Linked DNA regions of Elephas maximus indicus. The protein of the gene in region 4 interacts with the protein of the main gene of each other region in a pairwise test. Links are inferred from orthologs where the notes say so. Each region holds a gene or a part of one and is shown on either strand. Other genes may lie near its edges.

Region 1 (8,130 bases), on a different chromosome or scaffold from region 4:
GTATCTTCCCACTTATATTAAAAAAAAAAAAAATCAGGGTCACTAACCTGTACTGCTCTGGCAGTTGGACAGTATTTTCCTTTGCAGCTGACAGGTCCTGGATATGAGTATTGTAAACAGCTGAAACGAAATACTTGCATTAAAGTATATGGAAAAAAGGACATTTTTAGTGTTAAAAACAGAAACGTGAATGAAAACCTATCGGATAATCATCTTTATAATTTGGAAACTGAAATCTACTAGATCTAATAATAATTCTGGCCCATTATCTTAAGCTTAAATAACTAAAAAAAAACAAAAAACAAAAAACCTTTCCTCTGAATTCAGTGTTTTTCTTATGGAGCTAAAATCTGGCAAAACTGGGGTTGAAAAAAAAAACTCAAAGAATTATTCTGAATTCCTATAGAAAGTCCATTAACACCAGTCTGTGTTGAAAACGACAGAGTTAGAACAGCCTATCAACATCCTAACTAAACAAGCTGGTTTCCTAAAGTTCAGTGGCATTATGTCTCACATTATTTTTGAGAACCTTGACTCACAGAAGATGTATGAACGATTGTTATTATGTACATTTATGTACAGTATAATTACAACACACTTCTATTAAAACCAAGCTAATTTTAATTAAGTACACTGTAGAAATAACAGATTGATGAGTAAAAACAGAATACTTGTGCTCAAGTAACAAATGAATTTGGATGCATAATATCCAATAATCTTTTGGTAACAATTAGTAAAAGTACTTGAATCTGAATAATTGTTCAAGGAAATACATAACTTATAGGGTCACTATGAGTTGGAATCGACTCAACGGCAATGGGTTTGGTTTAATGGATCATGTAACATGGAACGATCAGAAGTAAACTGGAACTCTTCACCTTTTCCACAGTGAAATCAAGCCAAATATGCTACGAGACACAAACGATTCAAGTAAATTGCAGTACCCACTAAGATCTCTCGTTAAAATGGGAAAATCGGAGAGTGTTTTGTAGCAAATTAGTATTTCCCAGCAAACTTTCTACAATTCTTAAATAATCTAATTGTAGGACAGTCTGATTTCACTGTCACAGTGATCTTATTTCAAACCAACAAACGGGCATACAGAAAGCTTGTCTCCATACCTATACCAAAAAAAAAAAAAAAAACCCCAGTGCTGTTGAGTCGATTCCGACTCATAGCGACCCTATAGGACAGAGTACAACTGCCCCATAGAGTTTCCAAGGAACACCTGGCGGATTTGAACTGCTGACCCTTTGGTTAGCAGCTGTAGCACTTAACCACTACACCACCAGGGTTTCCTCCATACTTATAAAGTACTCAAATTCATGTTCTCAACTGTTTTAAATCCAGGTTATATTGCAGTTTACCACAGCAGGTGTCCTCTTCCAAAAACTAAGGCAATATTCATTTTCTAGTAGACCATGGGCTGTGTGCAATGAGACCAGCCAGTATATGGGTGTATGTGTGAAAGGGTGGGTGATTGTCCCTAGGCTGAGCAGGTGACGAAGGGAGGCTAACTGGACTGTAGAACCTGCCTCCACCTCTGCCTGTCACTCAGCTTCAGGCCTCCTTTCCAAACCTCAAAAAGACCAAGGTTGTTACTCCTCTCAGATTTCTGCAGTTGCTATCATCTCTTCCTACACGTCTTTGCAGGGATGGCTCAAGTTTCAGCTCCAATGTCACTTCCTCAGAGAGGTCTTTGCTGACACCCGATCGAATGTTACGCACTGCCCCTCTTTATGCTATCCCCCGGGGATCATGTTCCATTATACAACCTTATTTTACTTTTCATCAAAGCAATAACCATTATGCTATTTTCTCTGCTTCCCACATTAGAATGTAACTTCCAAAGGAGCAGAGACCCTATCTTAAGTCATGACTGCATTCCCAGGGCCTAGGTCAGGACCTGGCACGTAGTAGGTAAAAGACTGACTGAATGAAATGAACTGGTTTTTAAAATCATCAGGAGGCCAAGCATCAGGAATGAAGGACATAGAGCAGCCGGAACTCTCATGCCCTGCTGGAAGAAGTGGGTATTGGTACAATCACTTTGGAAACTAGCAGCATCTACTAAAGCTGAACATACGCATCACCTGCGATTCAGCTGTTCCATTCCAAGGGATATACCCAACAAGAATACACACATATCATCAAAAGGCATAGACAAGAATATTCCTAGCAGCATTATACAGCCATGAAATTGAAGCAACTACAACTCCATGCAACTATGTGGGGGAAACCTCGGGAAATATAGTTGAGCTTAAGAAATAAGACACGAAAAGAATACAAACTATATTGGTTTTGTTTACGTAAAGCACAAAAACAGACAAAAGTCATCTGTGTTGTTAGAAGTGAGAAGAGAGGATAACCTAGGTAACTGAAAGGAGACATGGCAAGGCGACTTCTGGGATGCTGGTAATGTCGTTGCTTGATCTGGATGTTGGATCCGTGGGTATATTCTCTTTGAGAAAATACATTACCCTCTACATTTATGATTTGTGCACTTCCCCGAATATACCTTATTCTTCAGTGAAAAGCTCAAACGTTAGTAGTTCTTCTGAAGAAGCAGCATAAGGAAATCAGAGCCTCTTGTACCCCACTCTTAGACCAATCCAGCATTTCATCTCAGCACAGACATTCCCCAAGAGGGATGGTGGATGGAATAGGAAGACAGGCCTGACTTGGCCATGCAAAAGGCTTTGGCTTCTATAAGATAACCCACTACAGGCTCTGGATGTCACAGATACTGGAAATCTGGAAGACACACACCACTCAGTCCAGAGGCCACACCCAAGAAAAACAGATCATTGAGTTGCAGTAAAAACAATGATACCTAAAACCAAACCCATTGCCCCGTTGAGTCAGATCTAACTCATAGCAACCCTCTGCACAACAGAACGAAGCACTGCCAGTCCTGTGCCATCTGACAATCGTTGCTATGCTTAAGCTCACTGTTGCAGCCATTGTGTCAATCCATCTCCTCGAGGGGTCTCCCTTTTTTTCTATAACTCTCCACTTTAGGACAAAGTAGAACTGCCCCATAGGGTTTCCAAGGAGCAGCTGGTGGATTTGAACTACCCACCTTTTGTTTAGCAGCCAAGCTCTTAACCACTGTGCCACCAGGGCTCCAAAAAACAATGATAGCAGATATTTATTTCACCAATATGACAGAAGGCTGGGCCAAAGCTCTTGACACATTTATCTCATTTAATCCTCACAATAACCCTAGAACAATGCTGGTACACAGTAAGTGCACTGTTGGTGCTCAATAATAAATATTTGCTGAATGAAAGGTAGCTGCTATTATCACTTCCAAGGTATCCAATGTTATACAGAATGACAGAGCCTTAACTGACACTCTGAACATCCAGATTCCAGTGACTATGCTCTTAACCACTTCTCCTTACTGAGAAACTGGATAATGTCAATAACACATGCCAATGAGAGCTCACTTTTGGTATGTTTATTATAATAAGTTAGGTTTCCTAACCCATCGAGTGGCCAACTGAATCTCAATTTCTTTACCCACAAAATGAGGATAAATTTTTAAACACCCACTGTGTGCCAGGAACTATTCTACGATTGTTGAAGATTAAGTGAAATGCATAATGATAAATTCACTCCCCCACTCCCTTAATCCCCCTTCCATTTATTTGTAAGAGGCAATGGTTTTTTTTTTTGTTTTAATAATATCATGAGTGTTACAGAACTCACATACAGTTAACACAAAATTTTGCATTCCATTTAAGGGGATTCATAAACCTTTTAAAGTCCCAATACTGTCCTCTGTTACAGTTAAAAGCTGTTGCAGAGGGGTTTGGCTAACTATGCTCGCACATCCAAAACCTCCACTGGCACTCACAAGCACCCAACAAAACAAACAAAGGTCATTTTTTTACAGACAAGATAAAATTAACATATCCAATCACTGCGTTTCACAGATAGTAGCCCAGAAGAAAACAATGCTTTTTTTCCAGCTGACGCGTTTTGCCCTCTATTCCGGGATCAGCCTAGAATAATTGGGAAAAGCGCCATTAAAATTTTCTTCTGGAAAAAAAAAATGTGAATTAGAGCCCAGCAGTAAAGAGCAACTAATCCAGAAAAGACCTGGGTACTAAAAGCGACCCAGACTTAAAAATGTTTTTGTCTGGGCAAAATCGCTACATCCATAAAATGGGGTAATAACTTTTGCTGTTCCGCCTTCCCTGTAGTGCAACACTGAGGCTCAAAGCAGGAAACAGATGCGAGTGCATCACAAGGGGCAACATAGACGGAAGGAACAGTTCCGAGCATTGCTGAGAGTCCGAGGGCGCTGCTGTAGGCTTCCGGCTTCCCCAGTGCCAATTCTCAGTCCCTGGCGCAGCAGGAAGCATTTTAGGAGTTGGGATGGGGAAAAAGACGCCTTTTGCCGGGGTTAGAAAGGTGCCTGGCACTTAACGGGGGCTTAGTAAATGTCTGCTGAATGAATTAGTGAATATGTGAGTCTGTAGAGAACACCCTCAGTTCTAGCGGCTCAGGTCTGCCTCCAGCCCGCAGACTCACCCGGAGACCGAAGCTTCCTCAGGCTGGGCGCAAGCCCTCTGCTTCCCCCCGCCTCCGCTTCAGGAGCTCCTGGTGCTGCAGCAACTCTAAATTGCCCCAGCTGGACGCCTCCTCTTACAGCCACGAGGATCGCGACCAAGCCGAACGCCACCGGCAAAGCCGATGCCTCGCTAAGGACGGCAAGAAGAAGGTGGAGAAAAGAGAATTTCGCGCCAAACGACGTAGTCCCGCCCCCAGGCTGTCTCCGTGTTACGACACCAACCAGCTCTCCCGTCCCGCCTACGTAGATTGGACGCATGACGTACGTCTGCCGACGTGCAGCAGCCATCATTGGTTTGGGCGGGGTTTCTGTTCACGGAAGTTAGTTCCTTCCACATCAGAGTTTCCGGTTTCAAAATGGTCGCCTCGGAGAGTTAGTGATTTTTCCATCCCCATCGAGTTTTTTTTTTTTTTTTTTTAACCTGGATGTGACGTATTAAAGGACCCGACGGAAATAGAGCTGAAGGCTTTCTAAGATGGCGAACCGTACGGTGAAGGATGCACACAGCATCCACGGCACCAACCCTCAATATCTTGTGGAGAAGATCATTCGGACGCGAATTTATGAGTCCAAGTACTGGAAAGAGGAATGTTTTGGACTTACAGGTGAGCGGGAGCGCGCGCACCGCCTCGGCTGCTTGTGGCCCACCCCCCCTGGCTGGGCGCTGAATGGGATTGGCCCCTGGGGGCAAGACTGGCTCAGTGTTGGTGGGTAGGATTGGAGAGGAGTGTGTCATGAAAAGGAGCCCTGGTGGAGCAATGGTTAAGCGACAAGTTCGAACCCATCAGCCGCTCAGCGGGAGAAAAGATCTGGCGATCTGCTCCGTAAAGATTTCAGCCTAGGAAACCCTATGAGGGGCAGTTCTACTCTGCCCTATAGGGTTGTTATGAGTCAGAATCGACTTGACGGCCACGGAGCTTTTTTTTTTTTTTTTTTTTAACCATTAACGAGCTATCGCTTAAGAAATCAGACTGCAAGTTCTTTAGGATAAATTCTGTATTAATATATTCAGCATTATAGCTAAACAATTTATAGCTAGGCACTGTGCTGAGTACTAGAGATACAGGTATATGGATGAACAAGACAGACACAGTCAATACTATTAATGAGTTTATAACTTAGCAAGGCAGGAAGTATGAAAAACGAAAGTATGATGAGTAGTTTGAAAGAAGCAGCAGAACGCAATAGAAATGTACGACAAGGGAACCTAACCTAGCGTTGGGAAGGAAAAAAACCCACTGCCATCCAGTCAATTCTGACTCATAGCGACCCTAGGACAGAGTAGAACTGCCCCATAGCGTTTCCAAGGCTGTAAATTTTATGGAAGCAGACTGTCACATCTTTGGCCTGCCGAACGGCTGCTGGGTTTGAACCGTTAAACCTTTTGGTTAACCACTGCGCCACTAGGGCTCTGTTGGGAAGGGAAGTGGTTATGCTTTTCAGAAAAATCGGTCTTTTTGTTAGGAGCTGAGCTGCCTCACGTAGGTACTTAGCGTTTTATGTATATTATCGCATTCAATCCTCACTACAACCCAGTTGAGCTGACAGACTCAAAGAGAGATAAAATGACTGGCCTAAGATCACACCGCTATTGTTTGAGTATTGGCAACAGTGTTGGGAGGTTATTATTGCCATTCTGTGGGAGAGACTTACTCGAGGTTGTGTAGCTATTGAGTTTTTTTTTTTTTTTTAATTTTTAATCCAGCAATTTTTTCCCTAGCATGATGGTGATGAGCGTGGACTCTGAAGTTAGACCGCTTAGATTTAAATCCAGGCCCTGTAACTTTTTGGCTCTGGGCCTGGAGCAAGTCACTTAACCTTTCTTAGGCCTGAGTTTCCTTATCTAAAAGTAGAGAACAATGCTAGAACTTAGGTCATGGTTTGCTGTGAAGATTAAATGAGATAATATGAAATGCTTAGCAGAGCACTGGGCATATAGTAAGCCCTCAATTAGATGCTACTATTGTTATTTTTATGGAGCTCTGGTGGCACAGTGGTTAACAGCTATGGCTGCTAACCAAAAAGTCAGCAGTTAGAAGCCACCAGCTGCTCCTTGGAAACCCTGTGGGGCAGTTCTGCTCTGTTCTGTAGAATCGCTATGAGTCGGAATTGACTCAGCGGCACCAGGTTTAGTTTGGTTTTGGTGTTATTATTGTTATTAATATGCACTTGCTCTCCTAATACTAAACTGTTGGTGAGTGTTCTGGAGCACCAACACGTGAACTGACTTCTTTCCACTTCACACCAGGATAAGCTTAACCCTGAAGTATCTGAGATGGCACTTGATTTGTTTTTGTTTTTCTTTTTTTAGCTGAACTTGTAGTTGATAAAGCCATGGAGTTAAGGTTTGTGGGTGGCGTTTATGGCGGCAACATAAAGCCAACTCCCTTTCTGTGTTTGACCTTGAAGATGCTGCAGATTCAACCCGAGAAGGATATCATTGTAGAGTTTATCAAAAATGAAGATTTCAAGTGAGTGTGATGTTGACTGGCTAATACAAAAGCATCGTTTTGGACATCCCAGAATTGGACTTTGGTTAAGAGGAATGAACATAGTATCTCTCATTTCCACAGAGACTTCCGCTCCAGGGTTTTGCTCTTGAGTCCTTGGGTTTGTGTTTTGCCTGTTCTGATTGAATTGATATTCTCCTTTACTTTCTTAATCTTGGTAACTTCTCCCCCAAAAAAGAGGATTTCTTTACCAATTCACTGAACATACATTAAGCAGCAGTGAGGATCTAATGTGTTGGTAGGCACTGGATACTTTAGGGTGAAGAAAACAACATAGTATGGTAGATAAGAGAGAAAACCATGGTGTTAGACAGGTCTGAATTTTTATCTAGACTTTATCTCTAATTAACTGTGACCTCAAAGAAGTTGACGTAATTTTCTAAGCTTTATTTTCTTTGGAAACCCTGGTGGCGTAGTGGTTAAGTGCTACGGCTGCTAACCAAAGGGTCAGCAGTTCGAATCTGCCAGGCGCTCCTTGAAAACTCTATGGGGCAGTTCTACTCTGTCCTATGGGGTCGCTATGAGTCGGAATCGACTCGACAGCACTGGGTTTGGTTTGGTTTTGGTTTTATTTTCTTTATCTGTAAAATTCGGATAACAATACCTACTTGTAAGATTGATTTTAAAGAAGATAATGCATGTAAACCACTCAACACAGCATCTCTTACGGGATAAACACCCAGGAAATGTCAGCTGCTGTAATTGTTTATCATTCATCATCAAGGAGCTTACAGACTACTATATGAGACAGAAATCATAGCTTATTACATGCCATCCTCTAAGGGCTTTTACCCTCACAACATATAATAATAATTCATTTAGCCCTCACAACAGCCCTGTCAATAAATGTTATCCCTATTTTACAGATGAGGAAACTGAGGCACAGAGAGTTTAAGTAATATACCCAAGGCCAAACAGCTAGTAAGTGGCAAAGTTGCTTCAGAGTCTGTGTCTTTTGCTGTATTATTCTGCTTATTTAAGAAACAAATGGAATACAGCGTGTTAAGTATTTTTATAAGTGTATATAATATGCTATAA
Region 2 (7,454 bases), on a different chromosome or scaffold from region 4:
AAGAATATTAGGTAATTTATGACTAAAACCCACTAAACCCACTGCTGTCGAGTCGATTCCGACTCATTGCAACCCTATACTAGGACCCAGAAACTCTCAAATCCTGTCTTCCTCAGGCCGCAGTTCTTCACTGGAAGGTCTTGAAGGAAAATATATGTGGAAGTGAAAATGACAAATGTCCCAGTTCCATCCTCTGCCACCCCTTTCACTCCCCTCCCTGCCACTCTCTCCACCCTCCATCTCTTCTTCTCCCTTCTCCTCCACCCTGCTACCTTTGCCTTCCCCTCCCTTCTCCCATTGCCCTCTTCCCCTTGTCCTCCACTCCCTCTCTTCTTCCCTCCCTCTCTTCTTTTTCCACCCCTCCCCTCCTCACTCTCACCTTCCTCCTATCCTGTCCAATACTTCTCCAATTACTTGAATATATATCCTCCAATAAAAGATCTAAGATGTGGGAAATACATCAGAATGTTAATAATCATCTTTTTTTTTTATTTTTCTTTTCCTCAGTATTTTCCAAATTTTTCTATGCTAACCAGCACATTTTCATAATTAGGAGAAAATGCTAGATTTTTATAACATGAAACACTTTATTTCACATTTATTTATTTTAGGTTGCAATAAAAGAACATGAAAAAGTATCAAATGATGTAAAGTGATCATTTTCAGTGAAAGGCAAAGTAGAACATATTACAAAGAAAATGTGTTCAGTAACTTTACAATTACACACTATGAGGAAACTTTTAAAAACATGTTATATTAACAGTCAGTGGAAAACAATGATTTCATTATGATTCAATTTATTCGCAGACCGTTATGTCACATAAACAAGCTCACAGTCATATTATATATGGTATTGATGGGCATTCCTAAATGTATGCTAATCTTTTTTCAAACAGTCAGGTTTTACAATGCACTGTTCTATTTAGTATAAGCACTGTATTTCTACCGCAAAGTAATGAAGACACAAGTAGTACAAGCAGACTTAAACCCTTAGTCTTCCAGGCAGAAGAAAAAAAAAAAAAAAAAAAAACACTTGCATTGGTGCTTCAGGAACTTTTTTTTCCAAGCAAATATTTCTCAGTTAACAATTCTGAGTTTTCACAGCTGAAATCTAACAGAAATATGACAAAAGGACTTCACAAAAATCAATACTCTGTAGCACCAAACTAACATGCTCTAGATAACTGATAGCAGTCTATATATTTTGAAGAATATTAAACTACAACAGGCTAAATAGAATAAGCAAAATACTTAGACACTTTTTTGGACAATTTTTAAATAGACTACCAAGAAAATACGAAAACACAACTGTAAGGAATACTAATGTTCAGGATATAGAGCAGGTTTTTTTTTTTCCCAAGGCTATATAAACCTGCTTCACTTCTTCTTGAAGTTTTGTGGTTCTTGAACAATCTGACAGCCTTATTTTTATTTTTGGTATTTCCTGTTTCCATAATCTTTACCATCTTCAAAACTACCACTGGCCTCTCCTGTATAGTAATAGATTGATTTCAGGATGACATTATCATGTAAAATTTGACCAATTGCAAAGTCCTCATCAAGGATAGCATCTTCTTGTGGTTCCAGCTTTCCGATTTGGGGAATCTCAGGAGGACTGAAGAAATTGAAGAATGATGCATTGGGAACCAGTCTTGGCTGGATTTCAACTTCTCCAGTAGCAGTTGTACGTCTGCGGGTAGTTCTCACGGTAACATCCTTTCCTCTTCTCCAATTGATCTTACAGCCTTTGCAATCTTCAATTTCCCATCCCCAAGAGAAAAAGGGATCACTGTGATCTGGTTTTGACCTTATTATGTATGTCTTTGTCAGCACCTCATTTCTGAAGTAGGGATTGGGTAGAAAATGAAATTCAAATGTGTAACTTATAGGCTGGCCAGGCTTTGAGAACTTCAGGCTAACATCTGACAAGAACTTCAGAATGGGCTCATCGTACTTCTGAATCATAGGCCCGAGCTTGTCAACATTCTTTAAAACAGTCAACCAATAGTCAGGAATGCCCTTAGGATCTTCTTTTTTAGGCTTTCCCCTACGAGCTCTTTTAAGATTAATTCTTTCTTTAGGCCTTGTCTCAGGAACTCTTTTAGGAGCCTCTTTTACTGCAGTCCTTGCCTTTGCCTCTGTTGCTTTAGGCTGTTCTTTTTCTTCTGCCTTTGCCTGGGGGACTTCATTAGGATCGTCTTTGACAGCAGGCTCTGCCTCCAGAATATCTTTAGAATCTACTTTTTCTTCAGTCTTTGCCTCAGGAATTTCTTTATGAACTTCTTTTTCTTCAGCCTTTACCTCAGGCTTTTCTTTAGGGTCTTCATCTTCTTCTTCATCCTCTAGGGCAGGCATTTCACTAGGGGTGTCATCCTCCACCTCCTCATCACTGCTGAACACTTCATCGTCTGAATTCCATTCACATTCTTCTTCTGTAGGTTCATATTCTGCATTGATGATTTGAAATCGCCTATCACATAGAGGCTTATTGAGTTCAGCATATTTTCTTTCAAGATCATGAATTGCCCTTAAGAACAGGGCGTCTACCTTGTCACATTCATCCTGAATATTTTTGAGTGCCTGCACGCGATTTCTAACTGCCTGCGGCAGCCTATCCACGAAATGGTTACCCGACCGAGCCCCCCGCACCCTTCTGGAAGGCCCAGGTACCCTCTTCTTCTTATGTGAGCGACTGTGGCTACTGCTGCTGCTGCAACTAGTGCTGCTGCAACTAGTGCTGCTGCTGTCAGATTCTTCCCCAGGATCTCTTGACGAGCTAGCCATCACCTCTTCAGCAACCCCCTGGGCGGCAGGTTCCGATACCTTTTTTAAACAGGTGTCCGCCATGTTGCAAGGCTGCAAACCTCTTAAGGTGGCGACTACTGCAGAGACCGCGCGCCCAGAGATGGGTAGAAAATGACTCACGGATGCTTGGGCGGCGGCGGCGGTAGCGGCGAAGGCCCGAGCTGTGGAAGTGGCAGCAGCGATGGCAGCAGCAGGAGCGCTCGGGTAGGCGGGGCGGGGGCTGCAGTGACCCCCGATGAGGTGTCAGCGACAGGGGAGGAGGCCTGGGCGACAGCGGCGGTGGCAAGGCCTCTCCTGGCTGCAGCTGCGGTGGACGGAGGCGGTGCCGCAGCCGAATGGCGCAGAATGAGACCCCAAGATCTCTTCTCGGTTCCGATCTCAAGCCCCCTCCCTTTGCAGCCAGATCTCCCGTTAATTTCGTTCCCGGTGTGCCTTTATTTCGCACTTCATTTGCTGGGAAACCTTGATTGACAAATTCTAGACCCAATGAATGACCAAACCCAACGTTTTTCCCACCCGGCTCCGCCCACCTTCCCAGACGCTCCTAGGTGGTTGAGGCACATATTATTTGCAAGACTTTTCTTTCCCTCCTCAAAACGCTGTCTTTATAGTTTTATAATTCAGAAAAAAAAGCTTAGACATGGGGTAAAAATATCAATCAGCCATAGTTCCTAACAAGGGGAGAGACGTGTCCTTCTCTCCATCCAACCAACCTGAAATTACGTTTGGTTTTTCACGGGCCTCCTGACAAAAATCTGTTTAAATTTTTTTTGACTGGAAGAAAATACTCCAAATGGCATCATTGGGTAGCGTGACTGTGGATGATTTTTTAAACAGCTCTTTACTTTGCGTTTTTCTATATTATAAATGTTTTATGAGCATGTATTTGTATACTGATAAAAAGGGGGGGGAGTCGCTTATTGGCAAAGGGGGGAGGGGCTAGATAGCAGGCATATTGCATTCCACGTAGCAGTTTTAATAAGTGCTGTTGTGATGTTTGGCAAGCCTGGTTTATATCCAGCTACAAGGTTTGTGCACCCATGATGCCGTGAGTCAGTTACACCGTTTTTACTGTATTTTTTTTTTCTGTTAAAGCTGGCATGTAATAATATCCCAACCTTGCTGCTGACTTGCCACGGGTAGCACTTCTCAAAGCTTGCAACAACCTTGGAGATAAAACAAAGGGGTATTCAAATGTCAGGTAGTACTACTAAAAAGCAAAAGGTTTACTTTATGCTTGTGTGCAGCAGGTTTCAGTTTCACGAGTAGCAGGATGGAAGAGGGGATTTGTGCTAATGAAGGTGCATCTTCTATCAGGGTATACTTTACAGTGTCATCTACCACCAGTTTTCTTCTAACATTGTAAAGTTCTAGCCATGCCAGATTATAATTTACATATCCAGTAATATGTGAATAAACTTGCAAACTGAAGTTTAAAAACAGGTATCTCTTATTTCTATTTACAGGATTATTTTCTGCTACAGAACAGCTCCCTTGGTACAACTAAAAAGAACTGTTTACTTTTCATTGAAAGGTAAGGAACATATTTAGCCCATATTTATGAATGACAAGAATTACCCATCTGTATTTGAATAAAAATTCAGAGCATATAGTCTTTTAAAGACTGAATTGGAAGATGGCTTGATATTTCTATGGCAACAGAAAAATCTAAATTAAATAGTGGTGATTTGGCATACTAGTGTAGAAAATTACCCTTAACCATATTCACTATCTAAACGTGGGCATAGAATATAAGTAAATAAAAATACAAAATATACTAAACTATTCATTTCGAATGAGGAGAAATATTAAAATTATACTAACCTTTGTATTTTTTGTTATAGGATTTGTGCTTTATAATTCAGAAGTTATGGGGACGCTTTTATTTTCTAATTTGTGAATGAATTAACTTTTATTGTTTATTTCTGATCTTCAAAGCATATGACCATTACAAAGAAAAAAATCCAGTATAGAAAATTGCAGTGATAGTAAAAACACAAACCTTTAAAAAATATATTTTACTGTGTTTTTGGAGAAAATTTACATAGCAAATTAGGTTTTCCTTTAACAGTTTTTGTACATATTATTTCAAAACCCATTGCCGTCAAGTCAATTCCTGCCCATAGCTATCCACCCCATAGGGTTTCCAAGGACTGGCTGGTAGATTTGAACTGTTGTTCTTTGTGGTTAGCAGCCAAACAGAACCACTGTGCCACCAGGGCTCCTATTCAGTGATATTGGTTACACTTTTCACGATGTGTCAGTATTCTCACTATTTCCATTCTGGTTGTTCTGTTTTCATTAATTAGCTTTTTCTGTCCCCCCTCCCTTCTCATCTTTGGTCTAAGGTAAATGTTGACTTTTAGGTCTCATTTAGATGATTGTTTAGAGGAGCACAGTACTCACGGGTGATATTTATTTTATGAGCCACTCTGCCTTTTGGCTGAGAGGCCACCACTGGGAGTGGTTTGAGTTCCAAACTTAAAGGGTATCCCAGGGTGGTAGTCTCAGGGGTTCCTCTAGTCTCTACTGGTCCAGTAAGTCTGGTCTTTTTTAGGAATTTGAGTCTTGTTCTACATTTTTCTCATACTCTATATGGGACCATCTATTGTGTCCCTGGTTGGGAGTGGTCGTTAGTGGTAGTTCTTCTGGCACCATCTAGTTCTCTTGGTCCCAAGGTAGGTGAGGCTGTGGCTCGTGTAGACTATTAGTCCTGTAGACTAGTTTCTTCTTTGAGTCTTTGGTTTTCTTCTTTGTTTTTTGCTCCAGATGCATAGAGACCATACTGTAATTGTATCTTAGATGGCCACTGCCAAGCTTTTAAGACCTCAGACTCTACTCGCCAAACCCAGTAACTCAGTTCCTCGAGGTATTTGGTTATGTCTAGGAAGCATGCATAACTGTGTCCCCAACGTGCTTTGTTTTATATGTGAATATATATGCAGCACACACAAACGTATATATACATTTGCCTACAGAAATACCTATACATGCGCACCGATATATTCATATGTGCTTACCTATACATATATAAGCATACGTATCTACCTATGTAACCACACACATATTTTTTGGTTATTTTTACTGTTGTTGCAAAATTGTATACGTCGTGGCGTTTACCAAAATTGTCCCTTATTCTTCTGTACTTCTTAGTGTCATCATTTACCTTGGTCAAGTTGTGTAAAAACATAAATCTTAACGACCAATGAACAATAAGCACTGTTAGCATTTTGATACATATTCTTCCAGAAATTTCTTTGTGCATATAAACACCTACCTATTTACATTTACTGGTTTATGTATACAACAATGTATTATGTTTTGTAACTACTCATTTAATTATGGATTATTAATCAATTATGGATGTATTAATGGATATAGTTTCATGTCAAATGATCAACATCTTTTAACAATAATGGGCATCTTGTTAATGGGTGTTGTTATTTTTTTATAGTACTTTAATGTTTTGTACCATCAGGAATTAGTGTTTAGGAGTAAGCAATAAGCTAGTGATCCATTTTTTTAAATTTATTTTTATTAGCCAGTTTTTTTAGTACCATTTATTTGATAATCTTTCTGTCCCCCCTTATTTGAAATATCACCTTTATCATATTAACTAAATTGCTTGAGTCTATTTCTGAATTCTCTATTTTGATCCATTGACCAGAATTTTTCTGCAAACAATTAATGAGCCATTTTATTTTGCTTTTAAATAATTTTGTATTTTATGAATATGATATGGGCTTATTGAAAAAAAAATCAAGCAGTACATGGAAATCCAGGGAGCCCTGGTGGGACAGTGATTAAAGTACTCAGCTGTTAACCAAAAGGTCAGCAGTTCAGACCTACCAGCTGCTCCCAAGGGGAAAGATGTGGCAATCTGCCTTGGAAACTCTAGGTCGATATGAGTTGGAATCGACTTAACAGCACACAACAACAACAACATTGAAATCCAAAGAAGAAATTAAAAGTAGCCCAAAATATACTATGAGGTAATCACTACTATTCACATTTTTTTATGAACATCTCCAAATTAATTTCACATTATTATTTATTTGTATTCTTACATTACCCAAAAACTTAGTGGTAAGATTAAAAGCCTTTTCCTGTGTTTATTGTCTATTTGAGAATTGTCTATCCATGCCCTTTGCTTGTTTTTCTACAGGATTAGAAAAGAAATTAATTGGTGGCCAAATCCTATCCTAATAGCAAAATAATTTTGGCCTTGATTTAAGGCAAGTATGACTACAAGAAAATATCTCTGTTTTGACACATTTGAGGAAATGTAGCCCCCCTAAAATGGTCTCTCTGTCACAGTGACAATTTTTTTTTTCTTAAAAATTTATCCCAATTGACTAGATAATCTTGGACAAATGTGACTAAACTACAGCTTTCATTCTAAAGTTATCTACTTGGAGTTTTTTTTTTTTTTGGATGATTTTCAAGGAACAATACTTTATCATTCACACTAGAAAAGTTTGGAATAGGACAGGAAGAAGAAAAAAAAATAAAACAAACATATAAAGATAACATTTTACTGAACTATTCTGATATTCAATTTGGAACTATTTTTTCTAGCTGTAGACAATGAAAATAGTTGGAAATAGGTGACTTTGTCCAACTACAATGCTCTATTTTTTCATGTGCAT
Region 3 (7,566 bases), on a different chromosome or scaffold from region 4:
TTATTCCAGAACTCTTCCCATTTCAAATTTAAATAAACAATCCTGGCAGAAGTTGGGCAACTGACTAACTTACTAGTATGTGATATCACTACCTTCCAGCAACAGTTATTAAGTTTGCATATTTGGACTGCAATTTCATCGCTAAACCCATTTCTGAAATCAAAGATTTTTAAAACACCATCTGCCTTCCCTCCTCAGTGTGCATTACTGTACCTATTAACAGTTGATAAGTCTGTCCACCTTAACAGACAAAGAATGCTTGATGAGTACTGAGTTTTACTCATCCCGTATTTGGTTTATCTTACCCTACCACAACCACTGCCCACTCCCATTTACACCCATAAATTGTATTCAGCTCATAAATCATATTCTCACACATTAAATGTTGACTGAATTCTTACTGACTAAAATCACCTACTTTAATAATGGATTCTTCTAGTAATTGAAAACAGTCTCCATCACTTACCATGCAATCTTATTTTCACATTTCTTCTTGGTTTTTAAATTTCACCAACAAAGGGAGTGTGAATTTTTAAAAGATTTAGCTTAAAATAAAGTGCCACAACCTAATCAATGGAGTATTTTAAGACAGGGGCAATATTTTAATCATATTTCCACCAACTCCACTACCCAAGCGGCCAGCAGTACCAGCAGTCATTCAATGAGTATCAGTTAAATGAATGAATAAGTCTAGCACAGAGAACTGCAAAACAATAATCTCCCAAGAGCAACTTTTGGATTTCATGGAATACAGCAAAATAAAATAACAAAGAACCTAAATAAATTGGAGACAGACACAGAGTATCAGGGTTGCCAACTTTTACCTTACTAGAAAGATTGATAAGAAATTAAATACCATCTACATATATCTACAATTCATAGAATGGCACTGACACTTCACTTCTAATGAGGATCAACTCTCTGCTTTACTTTTCTCTTTTCAATCTCCAATCTAAGATATTTGTTATATGAATTTACACCTATCATCTTTCCTAGTATAACATAAAGAGAGAACACTGGAAAGATACTGTGGACAAGTTTATAAAATCTGCTAAAGGAATTTAGTCTTTGATTGAAGAATCGGATTTGAGAACAAGACAAACAATAAATCAGTGTTCTGTAAAGATAACTCTGCAGCAGTGGACCAGGCATGTGCTAGGGATGAGCAAAATAAGTCAGGAAGCCAAGCAGAGACATTTGTAGTTATCCAGGCATGGAGAGATTCAAGACTGAGCAAGGGTGCCAAAACAGAAAGATATAGGGCAGAAACTATGATTTTATGAACTGTTATATGTGGGCACTGCTCATTAACTCATTTAATCCCATGACTACCTGCCCTAGTATCCCCATTTTATAGGCAAAAAAATTATGGCTCACAAAAACTAGGTAATTTGCTCTAGGTTCCAACTAGGACTTGAATCAAGATTTGCCTGACTCCAACATCCTTATTCTTTTGATCACGAACTATTCATATTTTAAAATAACGGAATCTCTAAAGAGCCATGTGAAAGGAAAGAGCCTTACAGGAGATTTCATATATACAGAAAAGAGAAGTATTACTGTCATTTTATCCTATCTAGCAAAAATATACAAAATGTTATTATGCATACACTGTAGGGGGACACTTGGAAAGATGATCTGATTTGGTCTGGAGAGTGAGTCAGTTTTTGTTTTTGATATGTATTTGAAGGAAGGCAAACACACTATAGTCAAAGGCAAAAAAAAAAACAAAAAACACCCAGATTCAAGGAGTGAGATTATTTACTGCACAAGGAAAACAGGGGCAGAGAAACAAAGACAGCATTCAGATAAGTAAATAAACTATCTTCGACAACTGAGAGACTGCACTTTAGGAACCATTTACTGTTACATGATCACTGAAGCACGAAGACTTTCCTAATGTAGGAACAAGAAAAATCAAAGAGGATCACAGGCCTAATACAACTGACTCTGAAGTCAATTTTTAAAAGCCCCCACACCAAATAATTAGCCACACAATAGACACAGACCACCACCTGTGCCACATTTTCATCAATTATAACCTTTCCAAGACTATCATAGTAATCTTAAAAGTTGAAAAAGACCTTAAGGTTACCAACTAATCCAGACCCGTCTCCAAACAGGTATTGATTCAGGATCTACATTAACACTTTCAGGGTCTGGGAGCTCGGTATATCAAAAAAAAAATTCTATTCTGGCAGTATCAGTTCTTCCTATATTTCACTGAAATTTTATCCCCCGAATTCTCCATAACTTCCACCCATTTGTTCCTAACTGTGCCCTCTCAGAGATACGCACAATGTGTTTCTATCAAAGTAATGTCCAGGATTTCCTGACCAGCCCTAATCCTAATTATCTTTTTTAAAAAACCCTATTTCCCAAAATAAGCGCTCGAAGAACAGAACGTGCAGTTCATGCCACTCTGCTTATTTAACAGAACACCCAGAAGTTAGTTGTAGACACTTCTCAGGATTAATAATCCACTTGTACGACTTCTTATACGTGCTCATTTACTAAACTACCGGTTTTGATCATAGCATAAGGGATTTTCGAAATTCAGCCTAACAGAAAGCGTTGTTCTGAATCTACGCATTATATCCGCATAATCCTACCAGGAAATAAACCTAGAGGCCTGCAACTTCTAATAGGCCAGCTAAATCTCCTTCAGCCCCTCCCAGGACAGCTAAATAGAAAATGAAGAGGGGAATCTGGATCAAAGAAAACCCCTAGGCGGGATGGAAAGTTAGGCCACACGAAGACCGAGGACGAAAGGTTAGGCCTATTACTTTCCATCGAGTCCCAGTATCTGGGTGCGGCGACTGGTTCCGCGCGAGGCAGGTTAACCTCCCCAACCCCCACCTCCGCCCCGCAACGACCAAGGCCCCATCTTCCCACTCCCGAGTCCCGCCTCCGCCCGTCACCTTTCTCCTCACTAACCTTTCTCCTCCCGGCTGTCGGCCGCCATTGCTCCCCTCCTGTTTCCGCTGCTGCTGCCGCCGCCACCGCCGCTTCGACGCGACTCGCGCGGGCGCCGCAGCCGCGGCAACAGTAGCACGGGCCCGTCCGTCAGTCCGTCCGCCGGGCCGCGCGCTTCGCACCTTGGCCTCTCCCACTCACCCTTCTCGACTCACCCTTTTTCTCCCCTTTCCCCCTTTCTCCTCTCACGCCAGGCTCCTGTGGCCTAGACCCAGCCTTCCCGATAGGGCTTGGGGACGGGAGGGGGAAAAGAGGAGGGAAAGGAAACAGATGGCGACGGCGGGCGGCGCTAAAATGGAGCCTGCTTCCTGCGTGAAACAATCCCGCTCCCGAAATGCCCTTCGCTGTTTACGCTTCGTTCCTGTCTGGGAACGTCACAGTGCGGAGAGGGGCGGAGCGGCGAGACGGGGAAGGGAAGTAGCGGGACGTCACCACGTCGCCCCGCCCCCCGCAGCCCCGTCGTCTTCGTAAAGAGTCTTATTGCGGGGGCTTAGGTTAGCCAGGTTGAGGGCCGTGTTCACCGCTCAGTTGCGTAGCTTCTCAACCGAAACGCATAGTGGAGGCTGTGGCGCTGTAACGTGTCCGTTTTGTCGTCCCAAATCGTCCCGCAGTACTCCCAATTTAGTGCTGGAAATCAGAATCCTGTTTAGAACAAGTCCAGGCTGGCTCCTCTGAAGCCACCACTTTTTCTGTGTATGAGATGTTTTTCTTAAGGCCCCCAGGTTTACCCAAAGGCATCGCAGGGAATGCAGCTCTCTTGCCAAAAAATCATAGTTTTTGTTTGTTTTTAAATTGGGGGAAGGAATTATACCGTATTTTAATATAACTTTGTTAATGCACATAACAAATTTGTATTAATCATTTACGCCCTGAGGTACACAGTTGATTAAACAGACCATTGAGGAATCGAAACTACAAAAGTGGCTGAAAATTACATAGCTACATAATGTAGTAAAATCTATGAAAGAAATTATGAGTTCAAAGGAGTGAAAATATAATTTGGCTTCACTGCAAAGTAAGTTCACAAGGTAAAGAAAATTTGAAAAAGAGGTAACATTATGATATAATGACTAATACCATGTTCAGAGTCCTTGGGTGTTGAACACAGTTAAGTACTCAACTACTAAGTAAAAGATTGGTGGTTCAAACCCACCAAGAGGTACCCTGGAAGAAAGGCCTGGCTGTCTACTTCCAGAAGGTCACAGCTTTGAAAACCCTGTGGACAGGGATTCTGATCTGATACACATGGAGTCACCGTGAGTCGGAATCATCTAGACTAACTGCTTCCAAAAACCACTGGTTCAGCTTGGTTTAGTTTCACGTTCACAAAAGGACAAGCAGTCCACAGTTTGTTATTACTTGATGCCCAATATAAAGAATTATGACCAATCTAAGGGAACAGTGGTGGTTCAGTGGTAGAATTCTTGCCTTCCAGGCAGGAGACAGGTTTGATTCCTGGCCAATGCACCTCACGTGCAGACATCACCTGCCTGTCAGTAGAGGCTTGTGTGTCGACATGATACGGAACAGGTTTCAGAGGAGCTTCCAGACTAAGATGGACAAGGAAGAAAGGCATGCTGATCTGCTTCCAAATATCAGCCAATGGATTACAATGATCTGATCCTGTTCTGCACTAGGTTACCATGAGTTGGGGGCCGACCCAATGGTAGCTAACAACAATCTTTCGTATCCTTGTAAATGGGAATTGAAAACTTATTCTCAAAGAGTTACTGTAATGTTTTCCAAGGATTAGAAAAATTCAATTAAGTGTTCAATGTTGTTATTGTTAGATACCGTCCAGTTGGTTCTGACTCAGTGACCTTTTGTACAACTGAACGAAACACTGCCAGCTCTTGTGCCATCCTCACAATCTTTGCTATGCTTGAGTTCATTGTTGCAGCCACTGTGTTCATCTATCTCCTTGAGGGTCTTCCTCTTTTTCGCTGACCCTCTACTTTACCAAGCATGATGTCCTTCTCCAGGGATTGGTCCCTCCTGATAATGTGTCCAAAGTACATGCCTGAGATGAAGTCTTAATCATTGTCAACTTCAAGGAGTGCTCTGGCTGTATTTCTTCCAAGACAGACTTGTTCATTCTGGCAGTACATGGTATATTCAATATTCATTGCCAATACTGTAATTCAAAGACATTAATTCTTCTTCAGTCTTCCTTATTCATAGTGCAGCTTTCACATGCATATGAGGCAAATGAAAATATCATGGCTTTTTTGGGGGGTCAGGCACACCTTAACCCTCAGGACAACATCTTTGCTTTTCAACACTTTAAAGAGGGCAAATTTGCCCAATGCAATCGTAGTTTGATTTCTTGACTTCTTCTATGGTTGTTGATTGTGGATCCAAGTAAAATGATATCCTTGGCAGCTTCCATCTTTTCTTCGTTTATCATGATGCTGCTTATTGATTCAGTTGTGGGATTTTTGTTTTCTTTAAGTTTGGGTGTAATCCATACTGACCTTTGATCTTCATCACTAAATACTTCAAGTCCTCTTCGCTTTCTGCAGCTAGGTCGTGTCATCTGCATATCAGAGGTGTTGAATCTTCCTCCAATCCTCAAACAAATAGTGCTGGAACAATTAGATATCCATTGGAAATAAATGACCATGAACTCTACCTAACACCATATGCAAAAAATTAATTCAAAATGGATCATAAACCTAAATATAAAAGAACAACTATAAAGCTTCTACAACAAAAGATGAGAGAAAATCTTCAACACTTTAAAGTAGGCGAAGATTTCTTATATAAGATGTAAAAATCATTAACCATAAAATAAATTGATAAAATTGGATTTCATTAAAGTTAAAAGCATCATCTCAATCAATCAATCAAATAATAAGGGAAGTCACTGACTGGGAAAACATATTCACAAAACATTTGTCTGACAAAGGATTTCTAGAATATAAATAAAGGTCCTGCACCTCAATATTAAGAAAACAAACATTCCATTTTAAAAGAAATAGCCAAAATAGTTAAACAGGTATTTTAACCACAGAAGATACGTAAATAGGCAATTACCATGTGACAACAATGCTCAACATCATCAGGAATTTAAACCACAATGAAGTGATTAAAGAAGATTAGAAATACCAAATGTTGGCAAGAATATGGAGCAGTTGGAATGCTCATCTATTGCTGGTGGGAATGTAAAATGGTACGACCACTTTGGAAAATCGTTTGGCAGCTACGTATGAAGCTAACATACACTTGTCATGTTGTTGTTGTTAGGTGTCATTGAATCATTTCTGATTCATAGCAACCCTATCAAGAACAGGATGAAATACCACCCGTCCTGCGCTATCCTCACAATCGTTGCTGTGCTTGGCCTTTGCCGTGGTAACTCTTAGGAAGTAAACTCTCTTAATTCATAGCTAGCCCCTGCATCCCTTCAGAGTTACACAGGAATTTCTAGACCTCTTCCACACAATGGAAAACCAAGGGACACTCTCTTAGGCTCTATCGGCCTAAACATGTTGTTGTTGCTGTTACATGCCATAATTAAAAAAAACTCAAACCAGTTGCCTTTGATTCCATTCTGACTCGTAGTGACTCCATGTGTACAGAGTAAAACTGCTCCATAGGGTTTTCAAAGCTGTGACCTTTCAGAAGCAGATCACTAGGCCTTTCTTCCCAGGCAATTCTGGGAAGTAGTTGAGTGCTTAACTGTCTGCACCAGCCAGGGACTCCCATATTGATGATTACTGTTGTTGTTAGGTGCCATCAAGGTGGTTCTGACTTATACCCACCCTATATACAACGGAACGAAACACTGCCTGGTCCTGTGCCATCCTCACAACCATTGCTATGCTTGAACCCATCATTGCATCCACTGTGTCAATCCATCTCAATGAGTGTCTTCCTTTCTTTTACTGACCCTCTACTCTACCAAGCATGATGTCCTTCTGCAAGGACTGATCTCTCCTGAAAACATGTCCAAAGTACGTGAGATGAAATCTCACCATTCTTGCTTCTAAGGAACATTCTGGCTGACGATTACTACTACATATGAATTGTTTTTGCAGAGTCACCATTAATCGTAGTTTGATGATAAACCTGAAGAAGGCTAAGATCATGTACCAGTATAATGCTACATTACTTTCACTAAGCTGCGTGAACTAAGTGACAGTCTTAAGAAATTTGCTTTTTCCCGTTTTATTCCCTTTGCAATCACTTTGGGTACAATGTCTAATATCTCTGACTTTTTTTTTAATGACTTGGCTAAAACAAGTTCTGTACATATATATTTAGGCTCAGTTATCTACCTCACAAATGGATGTGTGACTTGGTCTTCAGAAAGACAGGATGAGTGCATGGCTGCACGTTTAGAAGAAAGTAACAAATCATGTGGACGAAGGGGCATTAGCATCATTTTTGCACACAGAAAATAGCATGCTTTATAGATGCAAGCAATGATGTCAGTGATCCAGTACTAAAGAAAAAGTGTTTTATTCCTTTAGAGGGAAAATAACATCATATCGGTCAGTTCCCGATCAATTGTGTCTATTATACAAAGTATCTAATATGTATAGTATCTACTGGAAACCCTGATGGTGTAGTGATTAAGTGCTACAG
Region 4 (7,964 bases):
TCCTAGCCCCAGCCAGTATAGGGGCAGGGCCCCAGTCTTACCTGCAGGCCAGGTGTTGCCGCACGTCCTCTGTCCTCCAGCAACTGCTGAGAGTATTCTTCCCCCCAGCAAGGTGGTGGCTCTTGTTGTCCCAGCTGGAGTTCCTGCTGGCTAATTGCTAGCTAAGAGCAGGGTGGTGCCCGCCCCTGATCAGCTGACTCATGGTAGAATGGCTGGCCACCCAGGAAAGGCAGAAGGGGTTTGACCTTTCTCTCAATTTGGAGGTGGGGTTAGTGCACGTAGCTATTGCTGAGACAGGTATGTACCAAGACTTCTTGGTCTTTTTTTTTTTTCGTGTGTTTTTAGTGAAAGTTTACACAGAAATTAGGTTCTCATTTAACAGTTTCTATACATATTGTTCAGTGACGTTTGTTATATTCTTCACAATAGATCAGCATCCTCATTTCCATTTTGCTTGTCATGTTTCCATTAATCTAGCCGCCCTGCCCCTCCCTTTGCCTTCTCATCTTGGTCCGGGTAAATGTTCACCATGTGGTTTCATCTAAACGATTGTTTTGAGAAGCACAGTACACATCGGTGATATTACGTATTTTATGGGCCAGTCTGTCATTTGAGTGAAAGATGACTTTTGGGAGTGGTTTGAGTTCCAAGTTTAAAGGGCATTTCTGGGTGATCCTCTCGAGGGTTCATCTATATCAATCCTTTCCATCTTGATTTTTTTTTTTTTTTAATGTAAGTGTTGTTTTCTTGAGGAGATCCAGACTTGAGTTGAAGACCAGTCTTGCTGAGAGTGGGGAAGGTGGTTAGGTGACAGGTATCCAGGGGTCTTTAAAGTGACCGTAACATGTGACCTGGCATTTCTTCTTCCACAAACCCATCTCCATGTTCCCTATAGTAGAAAAAAATCTGGAAATCCCAAACATCCATCACCAGGGTCCAGTTAAAGAAGTCATTATCTAGGACAATCCCACAGCTGTTAAAGTTGTTTAAGGAAGAAGCCTTGAGGAGATGTTCCCGAGTACTGTTAACTGACTGAAGAGTCCGTACTGGGAGTCTGGCCTTGTGTTTTGTTTTCCTTTTTTGAAAAGCGGATGTGCACTGAAACCAGTCTGGGGGAGTCTGCTGTAAAATGCTGAGGCAGTGGGGTTGTCGGTGGGGTTTCCAGTTTGTACTTTTGTGTGTGTTCCCAAGTGGTGGTGGTGTTGAAGTTAATTTGTGTATTGCTTTGATTGCTTATCATTTTTGTAATGAGTAGGGGGAGAAATTAAACTGGACTGCTTTTTAAAGGAATTTAGATTGCTTCTCTCCAGGGAGGCAACCTAAGGGGCTGTGTACTGGCGTAAGGAGATTTTTTATAGCACACTTTCTCAAATTTTGAAAAATAAAAAATTTGAATATATTATTTATCCCACAAATAGTTCCATAAAATTAACCAGAAAAGGGAGAGGGATTTCATTTAGACCCTGGTGGGGTGGGTTAGATAAGGTGCCTGTCACACTTGGTGCCTTGGGGAGGGACTAGGGAAACGTATGCTGGTCAGTCCTGTGAGGAGTGACACAGGCCACCCGCCCAGGGTGGGGTAAGTTTCAGGGCTGTTCACCTGGCTGGGCCTGGCAGGCCCACGTCACTGTCCCCATGACGAGCTTGGGCAGAATTACACTCGCCTGGGGCGTCAGATCCTGACCGGGGCCCAGCTGGTTGTCAGCCCCATGGAGGAGGGACACTGTCTTTGCTCTGAGGAGCTCACAGCTGAGAGCCCCACACACGAAACAACAGGAGCCACGACACACAACAGGAGGTTGCCACTAGCAGCACCGACTGCCCACAGAGCACCATGAGCCTGCCGGCAGCAGCTTTAAAGGTACCATCCCTGCCAAGTAGGTGTGATTAGCACCAGTCCTACAGGTGGAGAAACTGAGGCACAGAGAGGCAAAGTCCCTCTCTCAAGTTACACAGCTGGAAAATGGCCCCAAGGCCATGTTTTGTCTGCTGTGAGACAGATGCTACTTCCAAAAGCTGAGGCACGGGACACGCCTGAGGGACAAAGGCAAATGGGCCTGAAGCCTGAGGTAGGTCCAGGGCTTCGAACTGGTTCATTTTGGTTCAAATCCCTGCTGAGAATTTGCATTCCCACCGTAGATATACTGAATGAGAATCTACATTTTAGCAAGATCCCCAGGTGATTTTTACGTATAATAAATTTTGAGAACCGCTGCTCTACTAGTGGTTCTCAGAGTTGGTCCCTAGCCAGCAGCGTTAGCATTGCCTAGAAACTTATTAGAAATGCAAATTCTCAGCAGGGGTTCTGACTGGAAGGAACTGGTTTGAAGCCCTGGGTAGACCATGGGTGATGGACCCACCTTAGGCCAAGTCTCCAAGGCCAAAGCAAAGAAGGAAATAGAGAACCTAATGGAACCAAGTGGCCCCCTTGCCCCATCTCAGTTCATAGAGCCATGGGCTGGAAGGGCCTTTAGAGAAAATGGAGAAGGAAATGTAGGCCCAGAGGGGATAAGGGACTTGCCTGTGGAACTGACCCAAGTCCCCCAACTCTCACCTACATGCCAGGGCTATCTTTCTATTCTGTGGTTTTTATAGCTACGGCCCATCTCTTTGACTTCTCTCATCACTCCAGCCACCAAGAAACATCTTTCATTGCACATGCCCTTGCTCAGAAGTCTTTAATGGCTCCCTACTGCTTCAGGGCCAATACTAAACTCCTAGACCTGACCTTTGAGGCCTCTGTGGTCCACCCCTTTATTACCTCTTCAACCTTGTCCCTCTAACATCTCTACCCCTGCCAGGCCAGAGTCCTCCCTACTCCTACCCCACCTCGTACCCACAGCACACGCATTCCTGACTCCACCTTTGCCTGGGCTGCTGCCTCCCCTGAGGTGCGTTTCCTCATCCCTACCCCACCAAGTCCACTGGGCTCCCCTTCCAAGGAGCCTCCTTGATCATTCCCATCCATGGGACCTCTCCCGCTTCTGTGTTCTGGATCAGACTGTCCCATTCCTTTCTTTGATACAGCCATCTTGTATTGTTCATGTGTACATTAGGCTAATTGTTACACCCTAAGTTCCTTAAAAAAAAAAAAGTTCCTTACCATCCAAAAAAAACCCAGTTGCCATTGAGTCAATTCCAACTCATGGTGACCCCATGTGTGTACACAGAGCTGCGCTCCGTAGGGATTTCAGTGGCTGAGACCTTTTGGAAGCGGATCACCAGGCCTTTCTTCCGAGTGCTTCTGGGTAGGTTAGAACCTTCATTGGAACCTTCAACCTTTTGGTTAGTAGTCAAGCGCTTAACCATTTGTACCACCCAGGGACGTCTATAGTGGCTAAAAAAAAAAAAAAAAAAATTTTTTTTTTTTTTTAGCCTATTTCCAAAATAAAAATTGGAGCCCGTGCTCTGGGCAGGACATATTCTGCTTTGTTACTTATCTGTGGAACAGCCTTCAAAAGTCTAAAACATGAGTGGCCACCATACAACATACACTCAGAAACTCCCTAACAGCACCCATGACAGACCTGAGTATCCACCCAACATTACTTGCTGCTGGGCCCTGAGGTGGCCCAGAATCCTCTCACAATAATGCCACAGGCAGCTGCTGCCACCTGGAGTCAGCCCGTGCTATGAAATCTCTGTGCCATCTCGAATGGTTCCCCCCAGCAGGGCAGGGCCTTGGGTTTACCATGTATCCCTAGGACCTAGATCCGTGACCGGCACATGTAGGCTCTCAGTAATGTCTATTGAATGAATGCCTCTGCTAGAAGAGTCCATCATAGTTATAAATGTAATGGATAGCTGCCACTGAGTTGGCTTCGACTCCTGGCCACTCTGTGTACAACAGATAAGTAACAAAGCAGTAACAGAGCAAAATTGTGCCTGGTCCTGCATCATCTTCACAGTCATTGGCAAGTTTAAGGCCATCGTTGCAGCTACTGTGCCAATCCATCTCACCGAGGGTCTCCCCCACCCTTGCTGGTCCTCTACATCACCCAACATGATGTCCTCCTCCAGTGATTGATCCCTCCTGATGACATGTCCAAAGTAAGCTCACCCTTATGTAAAAGCTGGGCTAGGCTGTGGTGGTAGGCAGAGCAGAGTTCCAGATCTGTGACATTCCACAAGTTTGGGAACCTCTCTGAGCTTCAGTTTCCAGACCTCCACAGGGGACGGCTGCTACCTGATGTACGGGCTTGTCCTGGAGGTTAAACGAATGAATCACGTAAAGCACCTAAGACACAGCTGGTGCTCGATAATGTTTCTGACGTCCTCATACTATCAGTCTTGGCTACAAGTTACAGAAACGCAATTCATCTGTTTGATGTGAAAGTGGGGGTGCTCTTACCGGAAGAAGGTGGAATGGCTGCTGAGCAGAGAGACACCAGCTATACACTCCAACCCCCTGCGTGGAACCTGGACCAGGAGCAAGTCCAGGGCTGTGTCAGACAGCTGCATCCGGACCACAGGATAATAACAGGAAGAGCCCCATTTATCGGGCCCCTGATGCCTGCTGGGCTCTGCGGGGCAATGGGCACAGCCTGACCCGTCTGTTGTTCCCAGCTGGCCCTGGAATCAGACAGAAGCATCTTGCCCGAGTCCACACAGCCCCGGAGTGGTAGAGCCGACCTGGCTGTGGACTGATCGGAGTGTCTGGGCTCTCGGACTCTTTCCCATCCCCCTCTAGCGGAGTCCCAGAGATTTCCCAGGGTGGCAGCGAAGGCCCTGATGAGCCAAAATCAGAAGCCAGGGAGCTGGGACCCCACACTCCCACAGACTCATGTCCCTGGCCCGGAAGCACAGGCACTCGCCAGAGACCCCATACCATAAGAGGACTTTGTGCCACCCCATAGTATCCCAAAGCAATATTCTGAAGGGGAGGCAGCGTAGAGCCTGGGCTGCGGAGTCTCACCTGCCTGGGCCCAAATCCCCACACATAGGCCATGTGACCTTGGGCAAGCGACTTTCCTGCCCTGGGCCTCAGTTTCCTCACCTGTGAAAGGAGGAAAGTAATTTCACCTGGATCATGGGAATACTCACTAAATGTGAACTATTATTCTTACAACGGGCATTGTTCAAGTGGCAAAAAAAATCTGTTACTGCTGTGATCCAAGAGCAAACGGATAGAAATCGCCTGCTCCTTTCTGGGACGTACATCCTAGTTGGGCTGTTCCTGAGGGAGTCTGTAAATCTCCCAGCCACAGAGATGCTGCCCTGAGGAGAGACCCCCGTGATGTAGTGGTCATCAGCCAGCCCCTCACCACCTCCGTCCTCCTCCCCCTCGGAGCCTGTGCTTCTCCAGGTGTGGTTGTCCCGGCCGCCTGCAGCAGAGGCCCCTGGGGGACATGCTAAAAATGCAGATTCAGGGTCCCACCCTACACTTGTTGTATCCAGCTGTCTGGGAGTGGGGCCCAAGAACCTGCATTTGACTTGCCTCTGCAAATGATTCTGATGCAAACTGCAGTGTGAGAACAACTGCCCAGCTCCTCCTTCCAGACCCACTTTCTTGAATCAAATGCCTGCAAGGTGCTAGGCATGGGGCAAGAGGCTTTCCTCGTTTACCTTGTTTAATACTCAAAACATACCCAAAAGATGGTTGTGTTATCCCATGGGACAGATGAGAAACTGAGGCTCAAAGACTTAAGCTCTGTGTCCAAGATCACGCAGCTGGTAACCCATGGAAGCGGGATTCGAACCCAGAACCTGCCTGCTTTCTCCTGTGCAAATGTGTAATCTCCCCTAAATGTGGCCTGTGCCCCCCTCATTAGTCCAAGGCCTGGGTCTAGTTTTGGAATTCCGTGGTGAAAGTTGGTTGCTCCAGCCAGAATTTTTGGTCACGGGCATGGAGAAGCATGTAAACACCTGGGAGCAATGTGGGGTGAGAGGTCATCAGTTCAGAGGACACCCCTACAAGGAGTGTCTCAGCATCCAGGCCTGGGGAGGGTTCAGCCAGGGTTTGTGGCTGTGGGTCACTCAAGCAGGGAGCCCCCAGAGCCTGGGAGAGTCAGACAACCTGGCCTGGAGGCTTGGAGGCCCAGGTAGACACTGGTCATCCTGCTGACGCTCCAGGCTCTGGTCATGGCCTGCAGAGCTCTGTCCCAGGTGGCTCCAGGCCCTCCAGAATGGGTTGGGTCTCTGCCTGATTGGGTCATGGCTTCCTGCAAAGATTGGGCTGTGATTGGTGGAGCATGGGTCATGTGTGCAGGCCCTCACTGCAAAGCATGCTGGTAAAGCGAGCATTTGGCTTTAAGGGCTACTCTACTGGGAGCCTCTGGTGGAGGATTCCCCAGACATGAGAAGCGGGTTCAAAAACAGAGCAGCCAGTAAGAGTGGCAAATGTCCACTCTGACCAGGAATGGGTGGTGGAAGACCAGTTGCTGAGGGCCTACTATGTGCCAGGCATGGCCCCAGGTGATTGACATCTGTTAGTTTCAATCCCTACCTACAATAATAATGCCCAGTTTACAGATGAGAAAGCCGAGGCCCAGGGTCACACTGACAGTGAGTGGTAGGTTACAGAGTTGAACCCCAACCTGTCAGACTCCGGAGCCAGAGTTCCTGGCCACCATGACACACTTCACTGCACTTAGTTCCGGTGACTGGGACTTGCCCACACCACCAGACAGGCCACTTTCCTGTCCCCTGCCTCCTGCACACCTCCCAGGACAGAGCAGAACGACCTCTCAGGGCCCCGGGAGAGAAGCAGGGCAGCTATTATTACCACATTTTATAGAAGAAGCTGAAGTTCAGAGCGGGGAGGGACTTGTCTGGGGCTGGGATCTTCCCCTCCCCCCAGCTTCTCTCACCCACCCACCTGCTCTGCACCCCAATCTTGGCTGCTCTTTTTTTTTTTTAAATAATTTTTATTGTGCTTTAAGTGAAAGTTTACAAATCAAGTCATTCTGTCACATATAAGCTTATACACACCTTACTACATACTCCCATTTACTCTCCCCCTAATGAGTCTTTAATGAGTCAGCCCGCTCCCTTCTTCCAGTCTCTCCTTTCGTGACCGTTTTGCCAGTTTCTAACCCTCTCTACCATCCCATCTCCCCTTCAGACAGGAGATGCCAATACAGTCTCAAGTGTCCACCTGATACAAGTAGCTCACTCTTCATCAGCATCTCTCTCCAGCCCATTGTCCAGTCCCTTCCATGTCTGATGAGTTGTCTTCGGGAATGGTTCCTGTTCTGGGCCAGCAGAAGGTTTGGGGACCATGACTGCCGGGATTCTTCTAGTCTCAGTCAGACCATTAAGTCTGGTCTTTTTATGAGAATTTGGGGTCTATCCCACTGTTCTCCTGCTCCCTCAGGGGTTCTCTGTTGTGTCCCTGTCAGGGCAGTCATCAGTTGTAGCCGGGCACCATCTAGTTCTTCTGGTCTCATGATGATGTAAGTCTCTAGTTCATGTGGCCCTTTCTGTCTTGGGCTCGTAGTTATTGTGTGACCTTGGTGTTCTTCATTCTCCTTTGATCCAGATGGGTTGATACCAATTGATGCATCTTAGATGGCCGCTTGTTAGCATTTAAGACCTCAGATGCCACACTTCAAAGTGGGATGCAGAATGTTTTCATAATAGAGTTTATTATGCCAATTGACTTAGAAATCCCCTTAGGCCATAGTCCCCAAACCCCCGCCCTTGCTCCGCTGACCTTTGAAGCATTCAGTTTATCCCGGAAACTTCTTTGCTTTTGGTCCAGTCCAGTTGAGCTGACCTTCCCTGTATTGAATATTGTCCTTCCCTTCACCTAAAGTAGTTCTTATCTACTAACTAATCAGTAAATAACCCTCTCCCACCCTCCCTCCCTCCCCCGTCTCGTAACCGCAAAAGAATGTGTTCTTCTCAGTTTATACTCTTTCTCAAGAACTTATAATAGTGGTCTTATACAGTATTTGTCCTTTTGCATCTGACTAATTTCACTCAGCATAATGCCTTCCAGGTTCCTCCATGTTATGAAATGT

The links.
Region 1: the proteins of SDCBP2 (region 4) and PRPF38A interact in binary tests that used the Homo sapiens proteins (3 or more experiments, as listed by UniProt). The two-hybrid records come from large-scale screens. The link is inferred for Elephas maximus indicus from reciprocal best matches to the Homo sapiens genes SDCBP2 and PRPF38A.
Region 2: the proteins of SDCBP2 (region 4) and FAM133A interact in binary tests that used the Homo sapiens proteins (3 or more experiments, as listed by UniProt). The two-hybrid records come from large-scale screens. The link is inferred for Elephas maximus indicus from reciprocal best matches to the Homo sapiens genes SDCBP2 and FAM133A.
Region 3: the proteins of SDCBP2 (region 4) and YTHDC1 interact in binary tests that used the Homo sapiens proteins (3 or more experiments, as listed by UniProt). The two-hybrid records come from large-scale screens. The link is inferred for Elephas maximus indicus from reciprocal best matches to the Homo sapiens genes SDCBP2 and YTHDC1.

The regions. Positions count from the first base shown.
Region 1 is NC_064821.1:95,523,688-95,531,817, forward strand, and holds the start of PRPF38A (pre-mRNA-splicing factor 38A), read left to right. Parts: upstream 1-4,997; 5' UTR 4,998-5,057; coding exon 5,058-5,187; intron 5,188-6,893; coding exon 6,894-7,053; intron 7,054-8,130. UniProt on the Homo sapiens protein: Involved in pre-mRNA splicing as a component of the spliceosome.
Region 2 is NC_064846.1:66,543,266-66,550,719, reverse strand, and holds the start of FAM133A (protein FAM133A), read left to right. Parts: upstream 1-4,320; 5' UTR 4,321-4,339; intron 4,340-7,454. Other genes in the region: NAP1L3 (nucleosome assembly protein 1-like 3), read right to left, coding at 1,429-2,847.
Region 3 is NC_064823.1:90,890,013-90,897,578, forward strand, and holds the start of YTHDC1 (YTH domain-containing protein 1), read right to left. Parts: upstream 3,322-7,566; 5' UTR 2,966-3,321; coding exon 2,938-2,965; intron 1-2,937. UniProt on the Homo sapiens protein: Regulator of alternative splicing that specifically recognizes and binds N6-methyladenosine (m6A)-containing RNAs.
Region 4 is NC_064843.1:39,399,011-39,406,974, forward strand, and holds the start of SDCBP2 (syntenin-2), read right to left. Parts: upstream 3,162-7,964; 5' UTR 3,104-3,161; intron 130-3,103; exon of another isoform or gene 42-129; intron 1-41.